Linked DNA regions of Saccharomyces cerevisiae S288C. The main gene of each other region encodes a partner of the protein of the gene in region 2 in a complex. Each region holds a gene or a part of one and is shown on either strand. Other genes may lie near its edges. The genes, in order: QCR8, COR1, RIP1 and QCR2. A codon is read from its position in the direction of its gene.

What was found.
Region 1: the proteins of COR1 (region 2) and QCR8 are in contact, whole or in part, in a crystal structure (PDB 2IBZ), measured with the Saccharomyces cerevisiae proteins. Residues at the interface, in NP_009508.1 of Saccharomyces cerevisiae: Gln170 (codon at 2,875), Leu245 (codon at 3,100), Gly246 (codon at 3,103), Ser247 (codon at 3,106), Glu248 (codon at 3,109), Val249 (codon at 3,112), Arg250 (codon at 3,115), Leu251 (codon at 3,118), Arg252 (codon at 3,121), Asp253 (codon at 3,124), Asp254 (codon at 3,127), Thr255 (codon at 3,130), Val337 (codon at 3,376), Thr338 (codon at 3,379), Asp428 (codon at 3,649), Asp430 (codon at 3,655), Glu440 (codon at 3,685), Gly441 (codon at 3,688), Leu443 (codon at 3,694), Tyr445 (codon at 3,700), Met446 (codon at 3,703), Arg449 (codon at 3,712); in NP_012369.1 of Saccharomyces cerevisiae: Trp12 (codon at 1,580), Trp13 (codon at 1,583), Gly14 (codon at 1,586), His15 (codon at 1,589), Met16 (codon at 1,592), Pro19 (codon at 1,601), Lys20 (codon at 1,604), Gln21 (codon at 1,607), Lys22 (codon at 1,610), Gly23 (codon at 1,613), Ile24 (codon at 1,616), Thr25 (codon at 1,619), Ser26 (codon at 1,622), Tyr27 (codon at 1,625), Ala28 (codon at 1,628), Val29 (codon at 1,631), Ser30 (codon at 1,634), Pro31 (codon at 1,637), Tyr32 (codon at 1,640), Ala33 (codon at 1,643).
Region 3: the proteins of COR1 (region 2) and RIP1 are in contact, whole or in part, in a cryo-EM structure (PDB 8YHQ), measured with the Saccharomyces cerevisiae proteins. Residues at the interface, in NP_009508.1 of Saccharomyces cerevisiae: Pro64 (codon at 2,557), Phe151 (codon at 2,818), Glu152 (codon at 2,821), Arg159 (codon at 2,842), Glu162 (codon at 2,851), His163 (codon at 2,854), Ser166 (codon at 2,863), Thr167 (codon at 2,866), Gln170 (codon at 2,875), Pro177 (codon at 2,896), Thr181 (codon at 2,908), Glu183 (codon at 2,914), Phe244 (codon at 3,097), Leu245 (codon at 3,100), Leu251 (codon at 3,118), Trp427 (codon at 3,646), Asp428 (codon at 3,649), Gln429 (codon at 3,652), Arg449 (codon at 3,712); in NP_010890.3 of Saccharomyces cerevisiae: Lys31 (codon at 2,207), Ser32 (codon at 2,210), Thr33 (codon at 2,213), Tyr34 (codon at 2,216), Arg35 (codon at 2,219), Thr36 (codon at 2,222), Phe39 (codon at 2,231), Leu43 (codon at 2,243), Asn47 (codon at 2,255), Ala49 (codon at 2,261), Arg53 (codon at 2,273), Tyr57 (codon at 2,285).
Region 4: the proteins of COR1 (region 2) and QCR2 are in contact, whole or in part, in a crystal structure (PDB 4PD4), measured with the Saccharomyces cerevisiae proteins. Residues at the interface, in NP_009508.1 of Saccharomyces cerevisiae: Ser45 (codon at 2,500), His47 (codon at 2,506), Thr48 (codon at 2,509), Lys80 (codon at 2,605), Ser83 (codon at 2,614), Ala84 (codon at 2,617), Ala87 (codon at 2,626), Lys88 (codon at 2,629), Glu89 (codon at 2,632), Gly90 (codon at 2,635), Leu91 (codon at 2,638), Ala92 (codon at 2,641), Ser107 (codon at 2,686), Ser108 (codon at 2,689), Leu109 (codon at 2,692), Phe291 (codon at 3,238), Glu292 (codon at 3,241), Pro293 (codon at 3,244), Ala294 (codon at 3,247), Leu297 (codon at 3,256), Gln298 (codon at 3,259), Gly299 (codon at 3,262), Thr361 (codon at 3,448), Arg365 (codon at 3,460), Ser368 (codon at 3,469), Leu369 (codon at 3,472), Lys371 (codon at 3,478), Leu372 (codon at 3,481), Gly375 (codon at 3,490), Gln376 (codon at 3,493); in NP_015517.1 of Saccharomyces cerevisiae: Arg22 (codon at 1,987), Ala24 (codon at 1,993), Thr26 (codon at 1,999), Lys27 (codon at 2,002), Ile28 (codon at 2,005), Arg53 (codon at 2,080), Gln57 (codon at 2,092), Ala64 (codon at 2,113), Leu65 (codon at 2,116), Val68 (codon at 2,125), Arg69 (codon at 2,128), Glu72 (codon at 2,137), Leu73 (codon at 2,140), Leu74 (codon at 2,143), Gly75 (codon at 2,146), Gly76 (codon at 2,149), Thr77 (codon at 2,152), Thr92 (codon at 2,197), Phe93 (codon at 2,200), Leu94 (codon at 2,203), Ser122 (codon at 2,287), Ala126 (codon at 2,299), Tyr129 (codon at 2,308), Ser262 (codon at 2,707), Ala263 (codon at 2,710), Leu264 (codon at 2,713), Ser265 (codon at 2,716), Ser268 (codon at 2,725), Gly269 (codon at 2,728), Pro316 (codon at 2,869).

Annotation. Positions count from the first base shown.
Region 1 is NC_001142.9:104,888-107,218, forward strand, and holds QCR8 (ubiquinol--cytochrome-c reductase subunit 8), read left to right. Parts: upstream 1-1,546; coding exon 1,547-1,831; downstream 1,832-2,331. Other genes in the region: ERG20 (bifunctional (2E,6E)-farnesyl diphosphate synthase/dimethylallyltranstransferase), read left to right, coding at 127-1,185; protein kinase HAL5, read right to left, coding at 2,007-2,331. UniProt on the Saccharomyces cerevisiae protein: Component of the ubiquinol-cytochrome c oxidoreductase, a multisubunit transmembrane complex that is part of the mitochondrial electron transport chain which drives oxidative phosphorylation.
Region 2 is NC_001134.8:133,643-137,883, reverse strand, and holds COR1 (ubiquinol--cytochrome-c reductase subunit COR1), read left to right. Parts: upstream 1-2,367; coding exon 2,368-3,741; downstream 3,742-4,241. Other genes in the region: ECM13 (Ecm13p), read right to left, coding at 423-1,196; YBL044W (uncharacterized protein), read right to left, coding at 1,518-1,886; PSY4 (Psy4p), read right to left, coding at 4,135-4,241. UniProt on the Saccharomyces cerevisiae protein: Component of the ubiquinol-cytochrome c oxidoreductase, a multisubunit transmembrane complex that is part of the mitochondrial electron transport chain which drives oxidative phosphorylation.
Region 3 is NC_001137.3:105,144-108,792, forward strand, and holds RIP1 (ubiquinol--cytochrome-c reductase catalytic subunit RIP1), read left to right. Parts: upstream 1-2,116; coding exon 2,117-2,764; downstream 2,765-3,649. Other genes in the region: YEL025C (uncharacterized protein), read right to left, coding at 1-1,004; YEL023C (uncharacterized protein), read right to left, coding at 3,361-3,649. UniProt on the Saccharomyces cerevisiae protein: Component of the ubiquinol-cytochrome c oxidoreductase, a multisubunit transmembrane complex that is part of the mitochondrial electron transport chain which drives oxidative phosphorylation.
Region 4 is NC_001148.4:917,458-921,442, forward strand, and holds QCR2 (ubiquinol--cytochrome-c reductase subunit 2), read left to right. Parts: upstream 1-1,923; coding exon 1,924-3,030; downstream 3,031-3,985. Other genes in the region: RPC82 (DNA-directed RNA polymerase III subunit C82), read right to left, coding at 1-1,584. UniProt on the Saccharomyces cerevisiae protein: Component of the ubiquinol-cytochrome c oxidoreductase, a multisubunit transmembrane complex that is part of the mitochondrial electron transport chain which drives oxidative phosphorylation.

The DNA.
Region 1 (2,331 bases), on a different chromosome or scaffold from region 2:
ACGCATGTCGAAACTAATACTTTATGATAGATTGTTCTTCTATCAGTTTTCATTTTAACTTTAAAAACTCAACCAACAGGTATTGGACTGACATAGGCACAATAAACTCAAAAATATTACGTAGAAATGGCTTCAGAAAAAGAAATTAGGAGAGAGAGATTCTTGAACGTTTTCCCTAAATTAGTAGAGGAATTGAACGCATCGCTTTTGGCTTACGGTATGCCTAAGGAAGCATGTGACTGGTATGCCCACTCATTGAACTACAACACTCCAGGCGGTAAGCTAAATAGAGGTTTGTCCGTTGTGGACACGTATGCTATTCTCTCCAACAAGACCGTTGAACAATTGGGGCAAGAAGAATACGAAAAGGTTGCCATTCTAGGTTGGTGCATTGAGTTGTTGCAGGCTTACTTCTTGGTCGCCGATGATATGATGGACAAGTCCATTACCAGAAGAGGCCAACCATGTTGGTACAAGGTTCCTGAAGTTGGGGAAATTGCCATCAATGACGCATTCATGTTAGAGGCTGCTATCTACAAGCTTTTGAAATCTCACTTCAGAAACGAAAAATACTACATAGATATCACCGAATTGTTCCATGAGGTCACCTTCCAAACCGAATTGGGCCAATTGATGGACTTAATCACTGCACCTGAAGACAAAGTCGACTTGAGTAAGTTCTCCCTAAAGAAGCACTCCTTCATAGTTACTTTCAAGACTGCTTACTATTCTTTCTACTTGCCTGTCGCATTGGCCATGTACGTTGCCGGTATCACGGATGAAAAGGATTTGAAACAAGCCAGAGATGTCTTGATTCCATTGGGTGAATACTTCCAAATTCAAGATGACTACTTAGACTGCTTCGGTACCCCAGAACAGATCGGTAAGATCGGTACAGATATCCAAGATAACAAATGTTCTTGGGTAATCAACAAGGCATTGGAACTTGCTTCCGCAGAACAAAGAAAGACTTTAGACGAAAATTACGGTAAGAAGGACTCAGTCGCAGAAGCCAAATGCAAAAAGATTTTCAATGACTTGAAAATTGAACAGCTATACCACGAATATGAAGAGTCTATTGCCAAGGATTTGAAGGCCAAAATTTCTCAGGTCGATGAGTCTCGTGGCTTCAAAGCTGATGTCTTAACTGCGTTCTTGAACAAAGTTTACAAGAGAAGCAAATAGAACTAACGCTAATCGATAAAACATTAGATTTCAAACTAGATAAGGACCATGTATAAGAACTATATACTTCCAATATAATATAGTATAAGCTTTAAGATAGTATCTCTCGATCTACCGTTCCACGTGACTAGTCCAAGGATTTTTTTTAAGCCAATGAAAATGAAGAAATGCGTGATCGGAAATTACGGGTAGTACGAGAAGGAAACTTGAGCCACCCCCCAAATTTTATTCATATAATAATAGGAAAAGCAACGACCTCATCTCTCGAACATTGTTTACTTGAGCAAGTCCGATTAAGAGTAAGTTGTCGTACGTTAAATACAAATAATCAACAAAACACTACACAAAAACTTCTACGATAATGGGTCCTCCAAGCGGTAAAACTTACATGGGATGGTGGGGTCACATGGGTGGTCCAAAGCAAAAAGGTATAACCTCATATGCTGTGTCTCCATATGCTCAAAAGCCATTACAAGGTATTTTCCATAACGCTGTATTCAATAGTTTTAGAAGATTTAAGTCTCAATTTCTATATGTATTAATACCTGCGGGAATTTATTGGTACTGGTGGAAGAACGGTAACGAGTATAATGAATTTCTGTACAGCAAAGCTGGTAGAGAAGAGCTGGAAAGAGTTAATGTTTAATATTGTTTCCATGCCTCTACATTACATCGATCTTTTGATCTTCTAAAAACTTACATATATATTCTGTTTATAAAACAAGAGCAAATAACCCCCATATATTTATTCAGTCAGTCTATTTATTTACTTACAGTATCAGTAATAATAAATACTTAAGCATTTTTTGTTTTGTATATCTTTATTTACTAACCTTGGTATGTAAGTGTCTATAAACTACACAGCATTTTGTTTTCCTCATCCAGGAGCTTTGTAGTAATTGTTCAATGGTGATTCTCTTCGTGGGGTCGACCTGGAACGTTCTATATAGTGCAATTTTCCTCAACCTATTCAGTTCGCTACTAACATGTCTTAATTCCTCAAATAGATAAAACTGTCCATCATCTTTAATTTCACTGAGAAATGATTTAAAAAGAGAATCCTTTTCAGGAATGGCGATTTTCCAAAGATACTGTCCCATGACCATTGTACAGTAAACAATACCACAACTCCAACAATCTACCAGA
Region 2 (4,241 bases):
TTGAATTCGTAGTTTTATTGCGCAAAGTACCATATTAAAACTTTACTTTTCGCCTATGCAATAATCTTGTACATATTGAGTTATCGTGGTAAAATAAAAAACCTGTGCCGAACGCCGTTTTGGAGCATGGTATAGAGTTGAAAATGACTAATAAAAGGAACCGTTAATTTACCCATATACTGGGCGAAAACAAAAGGTTCTTTTTTTTTTTTTTTTTTTTTTTTATTTTATTTTATTTTAAACTAAAAACTTTATTTTGAACGTTATGAAGTAAGAATATATATATTTTGCGTTTGGTATTTAGACAAGTGGTGATGCACTAGTTAGTAATAATGATACAACAACAATGAGAAAAAAAAAATAGGATGCAGATGTGAATATGATAATGCAAAACGAAGTTGTGTTATTTCCTTCATTTTAATTTATGCTGTGATAGGACAAGAATGAAATCTCGTTAATGGTACGGAACCATCGTCGACATCGCTACTACTCTCGTTTTCGCTGTCATCTTCTTGTCCATTTACCCGCCGAGAGAGCACACGGAAGATTGGCGCTGAACTATGCAAACTCACAGCATCGAGCGTTTCAGTGTCCTGTTCTTCCTCTGTCGTAGAGGCAGTGGCGGGAAGAGCATTGTAGCGCGGCGTTGATTCGGCAAGTTCATCCGTCTGCTCGGAATGAGAGTTTGTGTGAGTCAAATATTGATAATTAGGTGCGGTGTGAAAACTAAAGTACATGTCAATTTTCTTGTTATAATCACCGCCAGAGTAATCGTACTCAAAATCATAGTCTTCATAATCATCATCGTCTTCACTGTCAGTAGAAGATAGAGTGTCAGCATCTGGATCTTCGTCACTAGAGTAAAAATCACAGTAATCTTCACTTTCTATCGTCTTTTCTGCATTTTCCTCCTTACCGACGTCATTTTTACTAGCATTAGCATTGGACAATTCGATATGTTCGATGGACAAGTTTTCAGGTCCTTTACTGAAAGGGTCTCCGGCAAGGGCGTTGGTTGCAGCATTATGAGTTTCCACATTTTCTGTAATCTTATCCAGCAAGTTTGCGTGCCCGACTAAAACTCTCAGGTTGTAGTCTTTGTTTTTAGTAGTCACGCTAACGCATTTTGCCAGCTTGGAGCGTACTTTGCTGGCCAAAATATATTGATCTTGAATCGATGGGGTTGTAGAGTTCATTATAATCGCAGTATGCGGAATTTTCTATGTGAGAAAAACAATAAATAATTGTGAAAAAACTTGGATGTATAGTGTAATACTATAAAAAATTTCTGCTGGTATGTAGCTGTCTTTTTATTTTTTCTTTGGTCATACAGGGCTGTAAGCAGAGAAAGTCGAACAAAGACGTAACACCAGAGAAAGAAACTTGAATGCTTTTGTTAGATATATATATATATATTTATACATATGCCTCTCGCTAGAGGATATATCGCCGCGGAGCGCAGCGAACTACATCCGAAAACATCACAAATAATGCATGGGCAACCGGATACATTGCATTTAGTTTTGCCTTTTTTTCCAATTGTCACAGCTTCCTCGAAGTTTCTGACCCGGTAAAACGTGCGAAATGCCTCTTCTAATGCCGAAACAAGGGAAACCCTTAAAGCTTCCGTGCAAGCTGACCATGCCGGTCCGCACTTCGGGTCTTGTCCGTCGCCCGTGATCCAATAGGATACAACTACAAATCTGGGGTAAAGTCCGACTTTCGGCCCGCCGTGCGTTACTGCATGTTACATCACTATGGTGGGGACGGAAAATCACAGATGAGTCAGCTTCGTGATTTCCTGTTTCGGTGATGCTTGCAGTATACTTCAAATACTTCGCTTTACTTGGCAACCTTTTTTTTTGCCTCTCTAGCATTTCACCCATACCCACCAGGGGGAAAAAGAAAAGAGAGATTTTAAAACCAGATATTCTTTTTCACGATTTACATAACCCGGACTGGGTAGGGTAACATGTATATGAACTTTAACTGTGACCCGGACAGCACGCTTTCTGCACCAATGAAATGCCAATAAATTAACAGTGTTTTTTGTCCTCCAGAAGTTCAAGGGCCCGCGCTGTCAGCTGCACCAAATAAAAACCAAACAAGAAAATTAAAGGCCTACAGCGCTCCCTAACCGATATTCCCCTACTCTCTTTCCCCGTCTTATTCGAGGAAAACAGCGTATAATAAAGCAATAGCTTTCACAGAAAAAATATTATATCATCCCTGTTCGTATAGGTAACGAATCCTAATATTAAATTGCTACCATTGCTGATCAAGACAATTGTGGAGTAATAATACGAGAAGAACATCATCGTCACCATATCACTGAGAAAGAAAACACAAGATATATAAACAAAAAAAATGCTAAGAACAGTAACTTCAAAGACTGTATCTAACCAGTTCAAGAGGTCTTTGGCTACAGCTGTAGCAACCCCCAAGGCCGAAGTAACGCAATTATCTAACGGTATAGTTGTAGCCACTGAGCATAATCCTTCCGCTCACACAGCCTCTGTCGGTGTTGTCTTCGGCTCCGGTGCTGCCAACGAAAACCCTTATAACAACGGGGTTTCCAATTTATGGAAGAACATCTTTCTATCCAAAGAAAACTCTGCTGTTGCCGCCAAGGAAGGTTTGGCATTGTCTTCCAATATCTCCAGAGACTTCCAATCTTACATTGTATCTTCTTTGCCAGGTTCTACCGATAAATCACTAGACTTCTTGAATCAGTCTTTCATCCAACAAAAGGCTAATTTGCTATCTTCTTCTAACTTCGAGGCCACGAAGAAATCTGTCTTGAAGCAAGTTCAAGATTTTGAAGAAAACGACCATCCCAACAGAGTTTTGGAACATTTACACTCCACCGCCTTCCAAAACACTCCATTATCTTTGCCTACTAGAGGTACTTTGGAGTCCTTGGAGAATTTAGTTGTTGCTGATCTGGAATCTTTTGCCAATAACCATTTCTTGAATTCAAATGCTGTTGTTGTTGGTACCGGTAATATCAAACATGAGGATTTAGTAAATTCCATCGAATCCAAAAACCTAAGTTTGCAAACCGGTACCAAGCCCGTACTCAAGAAAAAGGCCGCTTTCTTGGGTTCCGAAGTTAGATTGAGAGACGACACCTTGCCAAAGGCGTGGATTTCGCTGGCTGTGGAAGGTGAACCTGTCAATTCACCAAATTATTTTGTTGCTAAATTAGCCGCCCAAATTTTCGGCTCATACAACGCCTTCGAACCCGCTTCTAGATTACAAGGTATCAAATTGTTAGACAACATACAGGAGTACCAATTATGCGACAATTTCAATCATTTCTCTCTTTCTTACAAAGATTCCGGTTTATGGGGGTTCTCTACGGCCACGAGAAACGTTACCATGATTGACGACCTCATCCATTTCACTTTGAAACAATGGAACAGATTGACCATTTCTGTCACTGATACTGAAGTTGAACGTGCCAAATCGCTGTTGAAATTACAATTAGGGCAGTTATACGAATCTGGTAATCCCGTCAATGACGCTAACTTGTTAGGCGCAGAAGTCCTAATCAAGGGCTCCAAACTGTCTCTGGGTGAGGCTTTCAAGAAAATTGATGCAATCACAGTCAAAGATGTTAAGGCTTGGGCCGGTAAGAGATTATGGGACCAAGATATTGCTATTGCTGGTACAGGCCAAATTGAAGGGTTATTAGATTACATGAGAATCAGAAGTGACATGTCCATGATGAGATGGTAAGATGTGTGATAATATATTTTCCATGCACATAAAATAGAAATAAGCAAGCTGCTAGATGTATACAGGCACGCTCGCACACTCACACCATAAATGAATTTTTTACATGTATTTTATATTCTAGTAACCCAAGTAGTCTTCATTATTTATTGGCAAGGTCACTGTTCCTTGCAAAAGTAGAAAATAAAAAAAGAAAAAAAAAGAAACTCGTAAGAAAACAAGATTAAATAAACGTCTTATTTTATATAAGTGTATATATATATATATATATATATGTGACCAAGATCCTGAAGAACTATCGATTTTAAAAATAAGAAAGATGAACTTTTTTTTGGTAAAACATATTTAATGATATTATGCAAATGGGAAGTTGTTGGTAGAGAAGTCATCTCTCGATCATCTGGACTTCTTGCCTAATGGACTGCTAATATTCTCACGGTAGGTAATACCAGCAATCGCAACCATCTTATCCTCTTGTGAAGAGCTCATCGATGGACTCACTA
Region 3 (3,649 bases), on a different chromosome or scaffold from region 2:
AACGACCTAGTGTGTATCTTGGCAGTGTATTTGTTAGCATACACGTCAGAAATTGTCAAGAGAATGACTGATCTTTCATATATCACATCATAAGAATCTTTTAGAAATTGGTAGTTTTCTACATTTGGGAGACCTTTATTATTGAAAAAAGCCCCGTTTGTAAGCCCACTTGCTTTTATATTTATTATTTGAGTGTAGTTAGTAGTCAACACTACAATGGTATGGCCGCAAACTACCTTCATATAACAAAATTCATTATCACATATCGGCAAAAGATTGTATTGGCGGTACTCGTTTAAATCAAATTTCCTACTTCCATGCTTTCCAGCAAGATTGTATTCCTTTAAAAACAGGTTTTCACTATAGCAACTCTTAAGTAGGCAAAGAAAATAAACGTGTGATTTACCTGTGCATGTGGCGTCGTCAAGCAAATCCTCCCTGCTAATAAAATCAAAGGAGATAATTTCTTCGCCATCGGTGGCATAAAATCTTTCGACTATTCCTTCTCTGAAGTCAAAGGAGTAAATTGTCGTACATAACGTATGCAAATCACTATCATATGATATGTTTTTATTGCAAGTGTATAAAACACCCTCAAAGGAAGCATTTAACCAGCTGGAAGTTAATAAAGAAATAGTATCCAGTTTCGGAGCCACATTAGAGTCGTAGATAATTTCAAATTTGTTATTTTCGCATTTGAATCCCTTAATGGAACCGTCGTTAAACATTAGCAGGTGACAGAAGGAAGCTGACATGAACATCGGTACAGTTGCGTAGTTAACAACGAACGGTCCATCTAAAGCGAACTCAACCTTCGCTTTCAATTCGTTGGACGTTCCGGTATACAATCCATAGCTAAAACATAAAAAGTAACTTCCTTCGTGATGAAGACAACTTACCAGCTTCTCAGCCTCATCTTTTGATCTATAAGATGTTATGCATAAAGGTAAAAAGGCCGAATTGCTATCCAATTTTTTGCAGTCCGTTTCATCTTGTCTTGCCATTTTACGTGGCAATGGCTAGTGCAATATGCAATGCGCTAACGCTGACATTATAACACAATATATTTTTCTACCCTCCCTTTCGCTGAGTTGCGACCAGAATGTCTGTTTTTCAGTCATGTATTTCTTTCCGCTTTAGGCGTTCAGGCAAGCGCGTTCAGTTGAAAGCAAATAGAACCTATAACGACGAATACGCTTAAAGGAAGTATACAGGAAATAGAAAAAGAAGCGTACTGCATGTACTAAAAACCAAAAAAAACACCACATCGGCTCTCTGGTTGTATCCATACTTTCCCTAAAATTTTGTAACTCAAGAAAATACCTACATAAAACGATAATCAGTGGATTGCACTGATCAAGTCGAAAAACTCCGTACATGCCCGTCTATCCCTGTCTCATCCATATAAACTGAACTAGGTAGAAAAAAATACCTACCCTTTCTTTAACCGCCTGGTATATTAAATACCATTGTCAATTGAGAAGCTAACAGCCATTGTAAGAGTTATGTCCAGTGTCCGACTAAGACAAGGTAACCATACGTTGATAGCTATGAATACCCCAGAGGAAGATTATTCTTTCTCATAAATCCTTTTTATTGGTTTCAAAAATCCACCAATAAGTTCATATAGCTTGGGCGGCTATTCATGCGTAATATAATGTGCATGAAGTACGACCCATCGACTCTTAGAGCAAATGCTTCCTAAATTGAAATAACTAGCCGCCTTTAATTCGAGCCTTCTTGTCATCTTGTGTATTTCATCCTTTCAACTTCTCCTGTTCCACCTTTCACTCTAAGCTTCCCTATCATTTGGCCTCTTTCAGGTTCGTCCATAGCGCATCTTTTTCCTTTTAGACACTCCATAACGGACCAATCAGCGTTTTGCGCCATTTATCGGTCTTGGGTCACGTGCGGCGACGCGGAGGCTCCCTTATAAGGACTGGAAAAAGACCTGCAAGAACTATAGTTGGTTCTTGAATATCAAGTAATATATTACTTCTCTGTCGTAACTTTTTGTTGCTTTCAAGTTCAACGTCTTTTAAAAACCAAGAAATTATTGAACATAAATAATATCACTCTAACACTTATTAGGAAACCGAAAGGAGCAATAACAAACATGTTAGGAATAAGATCATCTGTCAAGACCTGCTTCAAGCCAATGTCTTTAACTTCCAAAAGACTGATTTCTCAATCTTTGCTGGCTAGCAAATCCACGTACAGGACCCCAAATTTTGATGACGTTTTAAAGGAAAATAACGATGCTGATAAAGGCCGTTCTTATGCTTACTTTATGGTCGGTGCTATGGGTCTTTTGTCATCTGCAGGTGCCAAATCAACCGTAGAAACCTTTATTTCATCTATGACCGCTACTGCCGATGTTTTGGCTATGGCTAAAGTTGAAGTTAATTTAGCGGCTATCCCATTGGGTAAAAACGTGGTTGTCAAATGGCAAGGTAAGCCTGTGTTCATTAGACACAGAACTCCTCATGAAATTCAGGAAGCCAACAGTGTGGATATGTCCGCTTTGAAGGACCCACAGACCGATGCTGACAGAGTCAAAGACCCTCAATGGTTAATTATGCTGGGTATTTGTACTCACTTAGGTTGTGTTCCAATTGGTGAAGCCGGTGATTTTGGTGGTTGGTTCTGTCCTTGCCATGGTTCACATTATGATATTTCCGGTAGAATCAGAAAGGGACCTGCCCCCTTAAACTTAGAAATTCCTGCTTATGAATTCGATGGTGATAAGGTCATTGTTGGTTAGGTTTGTTTTTCGTCCTCGAAAACTACATCTTTATTGTCTATTTGTTTCACCCTTATTTTGATTTTTCATTTACTATCCATTATGTTATGAACGGGAACTATACAACTAACCTAAGAATTTTGAAATCACAACAAAAATAATCAACATCACAGTCTCGAAGGGATTACGCTCAAAAAGGAACGAAAATCACTATACTGTATTCCCTGTTGATTTTCCTAAGAATATATTCTTATACAATATGGAGAAAACAAAAGGATAAGAAAAGAAAGGGGAAATAAAGAAGATTTGGACCTATTTATTACTACTTTTTTGTCTCACCATCTTCTTTTTCTATTCATAATATTTGATATTCCTTTATTTATCTGCATGTATTTATAATTAACGAAACTATTTATCTTCCCTCGTCCTGCCTTATCCTTCTTTTCTCCAAATGTTTTACCTAAGATTGGCCTGTATTTGAATATTGATGTCCAGAAGCAGAAGATTTCACATGTTGTATAAAGTATACAAGATTGTAAAAATGATTGAAGTATTTTTATATATGTATATTACCTATAAAATTTTTTATATTACGTACCGAAGGGGTTTTTTTAATGCTAAAGCGATTCATCTTGCTGTAGGTATATTTTTAAATCATCTGGAATATCTGTCCAGGAATTACTATCCCAGTCCATGAATTTCTTTTTTAATTGGGAGTATTTACTGTCAAATAATCTTGAATTGTATGTCGTTGCAAAATAACTTGCTTTTTGACCCATGTGGAGTTCCTGCCCTTCCTCATTATCAAAAAAGCCCCCATTGATTTCACTCCCGTTGCTATTATCTTGCTTATCATATTTATTTGAAACTTTATTACTTTTTAAATCAATACCTTCCAAATCTTGG
Region 4 (3,985 bases), on a different chromosome or scaffold from region 2:
CATTAACGCAGTTGAGTTGATAATTTTCTCAGACACCAGCTTGTTATCACGAATACAACGGCTTAAACGCATTGCTGAGGGTCCCAACGTAGACGCGATAACATACTCATAAACAGATGACTTTAATACTGGCATTAGTTTGCTATATGGAACATAGTAAACACCTGGTTTGGTTTCGTTCAAAAAGGGGAAATTTGATGATGCTAGGATTTTTAAATGACTATTTATCAAAGAAGCTGAGTGAGGATCCTCAGTGTCTGCATCCAAATCCTCCTCCTCTTCGTCTTCTTCTTGTGTATCTCCACTTTCTTGAAGAGATTTGGAAACAGCAGCAGGTAGCGCCGGGATCACAAATCCATCTTCGGTTTTTAATTTTTTACTGGGTAATGATGCAGCAGCGTTTGAGCCAGAACGCTTTTTATTGTCAGAGGGCTTTCTAGATAATAAGCTTCCACGCAAGTCCAATTCTGCGGGGAGATGTCTTGCCAAGTCAATAGCATTAAAGGTAAGCCCTGGTGTCTTCTCCTCAACAAGTTCGGCTTCGTCTTGAAACGATTTTGCTTCCTCCAAATCTTGTAAAAGCCCAGTTTGAGTTAGTGGATCTCTAATTTTAGGAGACTTTTGCTCTGTGAGTCTTAATGCAATTTTGTAAACTTGAGCTGTGACGGAGCCGACTCTTGTCTTGGCCAAGTTAATCAATTGTTTAGATCTTCTACCTTTCATAAATCTATCCAAATTAATCGTCAGAGAGACTGTAGGTTTAACAATCCTCAATGAGGTCTTTGGATCAACCGTTAAGATTTGTGAAAGCTCATTTGGTTTATTTATGATTTTGGCAAAATCAGTTTTCGCATTCATCTTGGCTTGGGATCTTTTCTTCAAATCGGACAACGGGGAGTTTCTGGGAATATTTTTGTAATGTTTTTCATATAAAAATTGCCAGAGATCTTCGATTGGGGTATAATGCAATTTTGATATTTGAATAAGATATCCCATTTCACACAGTTGCACGAATAGTGATGAAATGGTGTACTTCATGGAATCTGACGTGACACTACTTAGATAATCTTCCACTGTTAAGGACCCTAATGATATAACGTTTTGTACAATTTCAGCCACCAGCTGTTTATGCTCCTCTTCGTCGTTTACACGCATTTGCGTAATAATTTCGTCAATAATCAACCCTGAGTAGAGTAAAATGTGTATCCCTTCCTCGTTATAGTAATAATAAGTCGTTTTTTTCCCGGATATTGCTGTTTCTTGCAGGTACTTAACACACCTTAATTGAGTTAATGAGACTAGTGTCGTCTTGACGCTGTCTACATCCATACCATCTATTTTCTCCACTAACTCGCGCACACTCAATCTGCCCAGCGCAACCAACATCCCAATTACAGAAGCTGCTCTTTCACCCAGATGTGCCTTCACCAACTCTTTGTAAAGAAACAAATCGGGATTCAAGGTTCTCTGTTCCAAGGATGATATGGTCATAACATCTTCGGGGGTGACCAACTTCTCAGATTCGACAGTGCTCTCACCTGTTTGGTTCTCTGCACTAAGCGCTTCTCCCAGTAACTCGTCCATTTGGATCTTGCTCAACAAAAATTTTTCCCTATTCCTGTGTCAGCAATTCTCTATTGTTCTCAATATTTCTTCCACTATTATTATTTTGATCCAAAATTATTTTTTTCCTTCAATGCGATGAGCTTTTGAAAAATTTCTGATCATTCCCAACGAACCAATAGAAGGCCCGCCCCGTCTTATATCCGTTAGCCTACCAAATATATATATAAAGAACAAGGGCCTTTCCTCAGAGCGTTTGCTGACGAAGTTTTAGAAGTTAATAAGGTTTTTAACAGCAGTGTGCTCGAACGATTAGGACGGGAGAGTTAAAATTATTAAAAGGAAAAAAGAAGAACGTTGATGTTGTCAGCAGCTAGATTGCAATTTGCCCAGGGGTCAGTTAGAAGGTTGACCGTTTCCGCTAGAGACGCACCTACTAAAATATCTACATTGGCTGTTAAGGTCCATGGAGGGTCTCGTTATGCAACCAAGGATGGTGTGGCCCATCTTTTAAACAGATTCAACTTTCAAAACACGAACACTAGATCAGCTTTGAAATTAGTCAGAGAATCCGAATTATTAGGGGGAACTTTTAAGTCTACCTTGGATAGGGAATACATCACTTTGAAAGCTACCTTTTTGAAGGACGACCTTCCCTACTACGTCAATGCCCTAGCAGACGTGCTATACAAGACTGCCTTCAAACCTCACGAGCTCACCGAATCTGTTTTGCCTGCTGCTAGATACGATTATGCGGTCGCTGAACAATGTCCGGTAAAGAGCGCCGAAGACCAATTGTATGCCATTACATTCAGAAAGGGTTTAGGAAACCCATTGTTATACGATGGTGTGGAAAGAGTCAGTTTGCAAGATATCAAGGACTTTGCGGACAAAGTCTATACCAAGGAGAACCTTGAAGTTAGCGGTGAAAATGTTGTTGAGGCCGATTTGAAAAGATTTGTTGACGAGTCACTGTTAAGCACTTTGCCTGCAGGTAAGTCATTGGTGAGTAAATCCGAACCAAAATTCTTTTTGGGTGAAGAAAACAGGGTAAGGTTTATCGGTGACTCCGTTGCCGCCATTGGTATCCCGGTAAACAAAGCCTCCCTAGCTCAATATGAAGTATTGGCCAACTATTTGACCTCTGCCCTATCCGAGCTTTCCGGTTTAATCAGCTCGGCTAAACTTGATAAATTCACTGACGGCGGCCTATTTACTCTGTTTGTAAGAGACCAGGACAGCGCCGTGGTATCTTCCAACATCAAGAAAATTGTTGCGGATTTGAAGAAGGGCAAGGACTTATCCCCTGCAATAAATTACACAAAGTTAAAGAATGCCGTCCAAAATGAATCTGTTTCCAGCCCAATTGAACTAAATTTTGACGCCGTGAAGGACTTTAAGTTGGGAAAATTCAACTATGTAGCCGTCGGTGATGTTTCCAACTTGCCATATTTGGACGAATTGTAAGAGGAAAGTATTTGTACAAAACGAAAAACTAAAGGCAAATATATATATAGATGTTGCCGCGCACCTTTTTTTTAATGAATATTCACACAAATATTGAAAATAAAAACAAACAAAATTCAAATAACAACATGTAAGACCAAAAAAAAATCCCTCATTATTTATTCCTTACCCTTTCCAAATTCTTACTATACTAGTAAATATATATTTAATTATCCTTTTTTCTACTTCAGCATACAATCCTTCTTTTGCCGCAGGTTTATAGTTAGACCCCTCAATTCTGTCAAGTTTCAGTGGTACGTTATTTTATGTCTCATCTCACGATCCTGGCAAAAAAAGAAAGGCATGTAATTTGAGGAGGCGATTCACCCTCATTTTTACGCAACAACAATGCTGTGTGGCTTACACGCCTCTGCGTACATATCTACATATTTAACGGTCCTGTATTTTCAAGCACGCAAGGCTGAAATAAACGGTTGTTTGCTTATGCGCGATGCACTCCGCCGAACATCACCGCAAAAGCACCGTAGGCGGAGATCTCCCAGCTAGTATGGGCATGACGGAACCACGATTTCCAGATATAGATACTTAAAAGCACTAAAAGGTCTATACATAAAACGCAGACTTACGTAAGATACATAGCAACTGCCGATATGGACGCCGCCATGCCGAATGACAAAGGGAGAATGTAGTACTAATTGATATCGTCTTATCCTCTCAGGAATGCAAACTTAAAACATACTTTCTCCCGTCCTAACAACGCCGGTTGTCGACGATAAATACCCCAAGAAATGCCCGCACAGAATCTCCTCCGTTAGGTGGTCATGCCCCGAGGGTGCGAGGTTGTTTCCTGCACGGTAAATCGGGATGCCATGAAAGCCGGCCCTCCCCACGCGTCCCCTAATTTTTTTCCAAGTGAATATCTGCATCGGCCACCGTTTTATATTACTTCGATAAG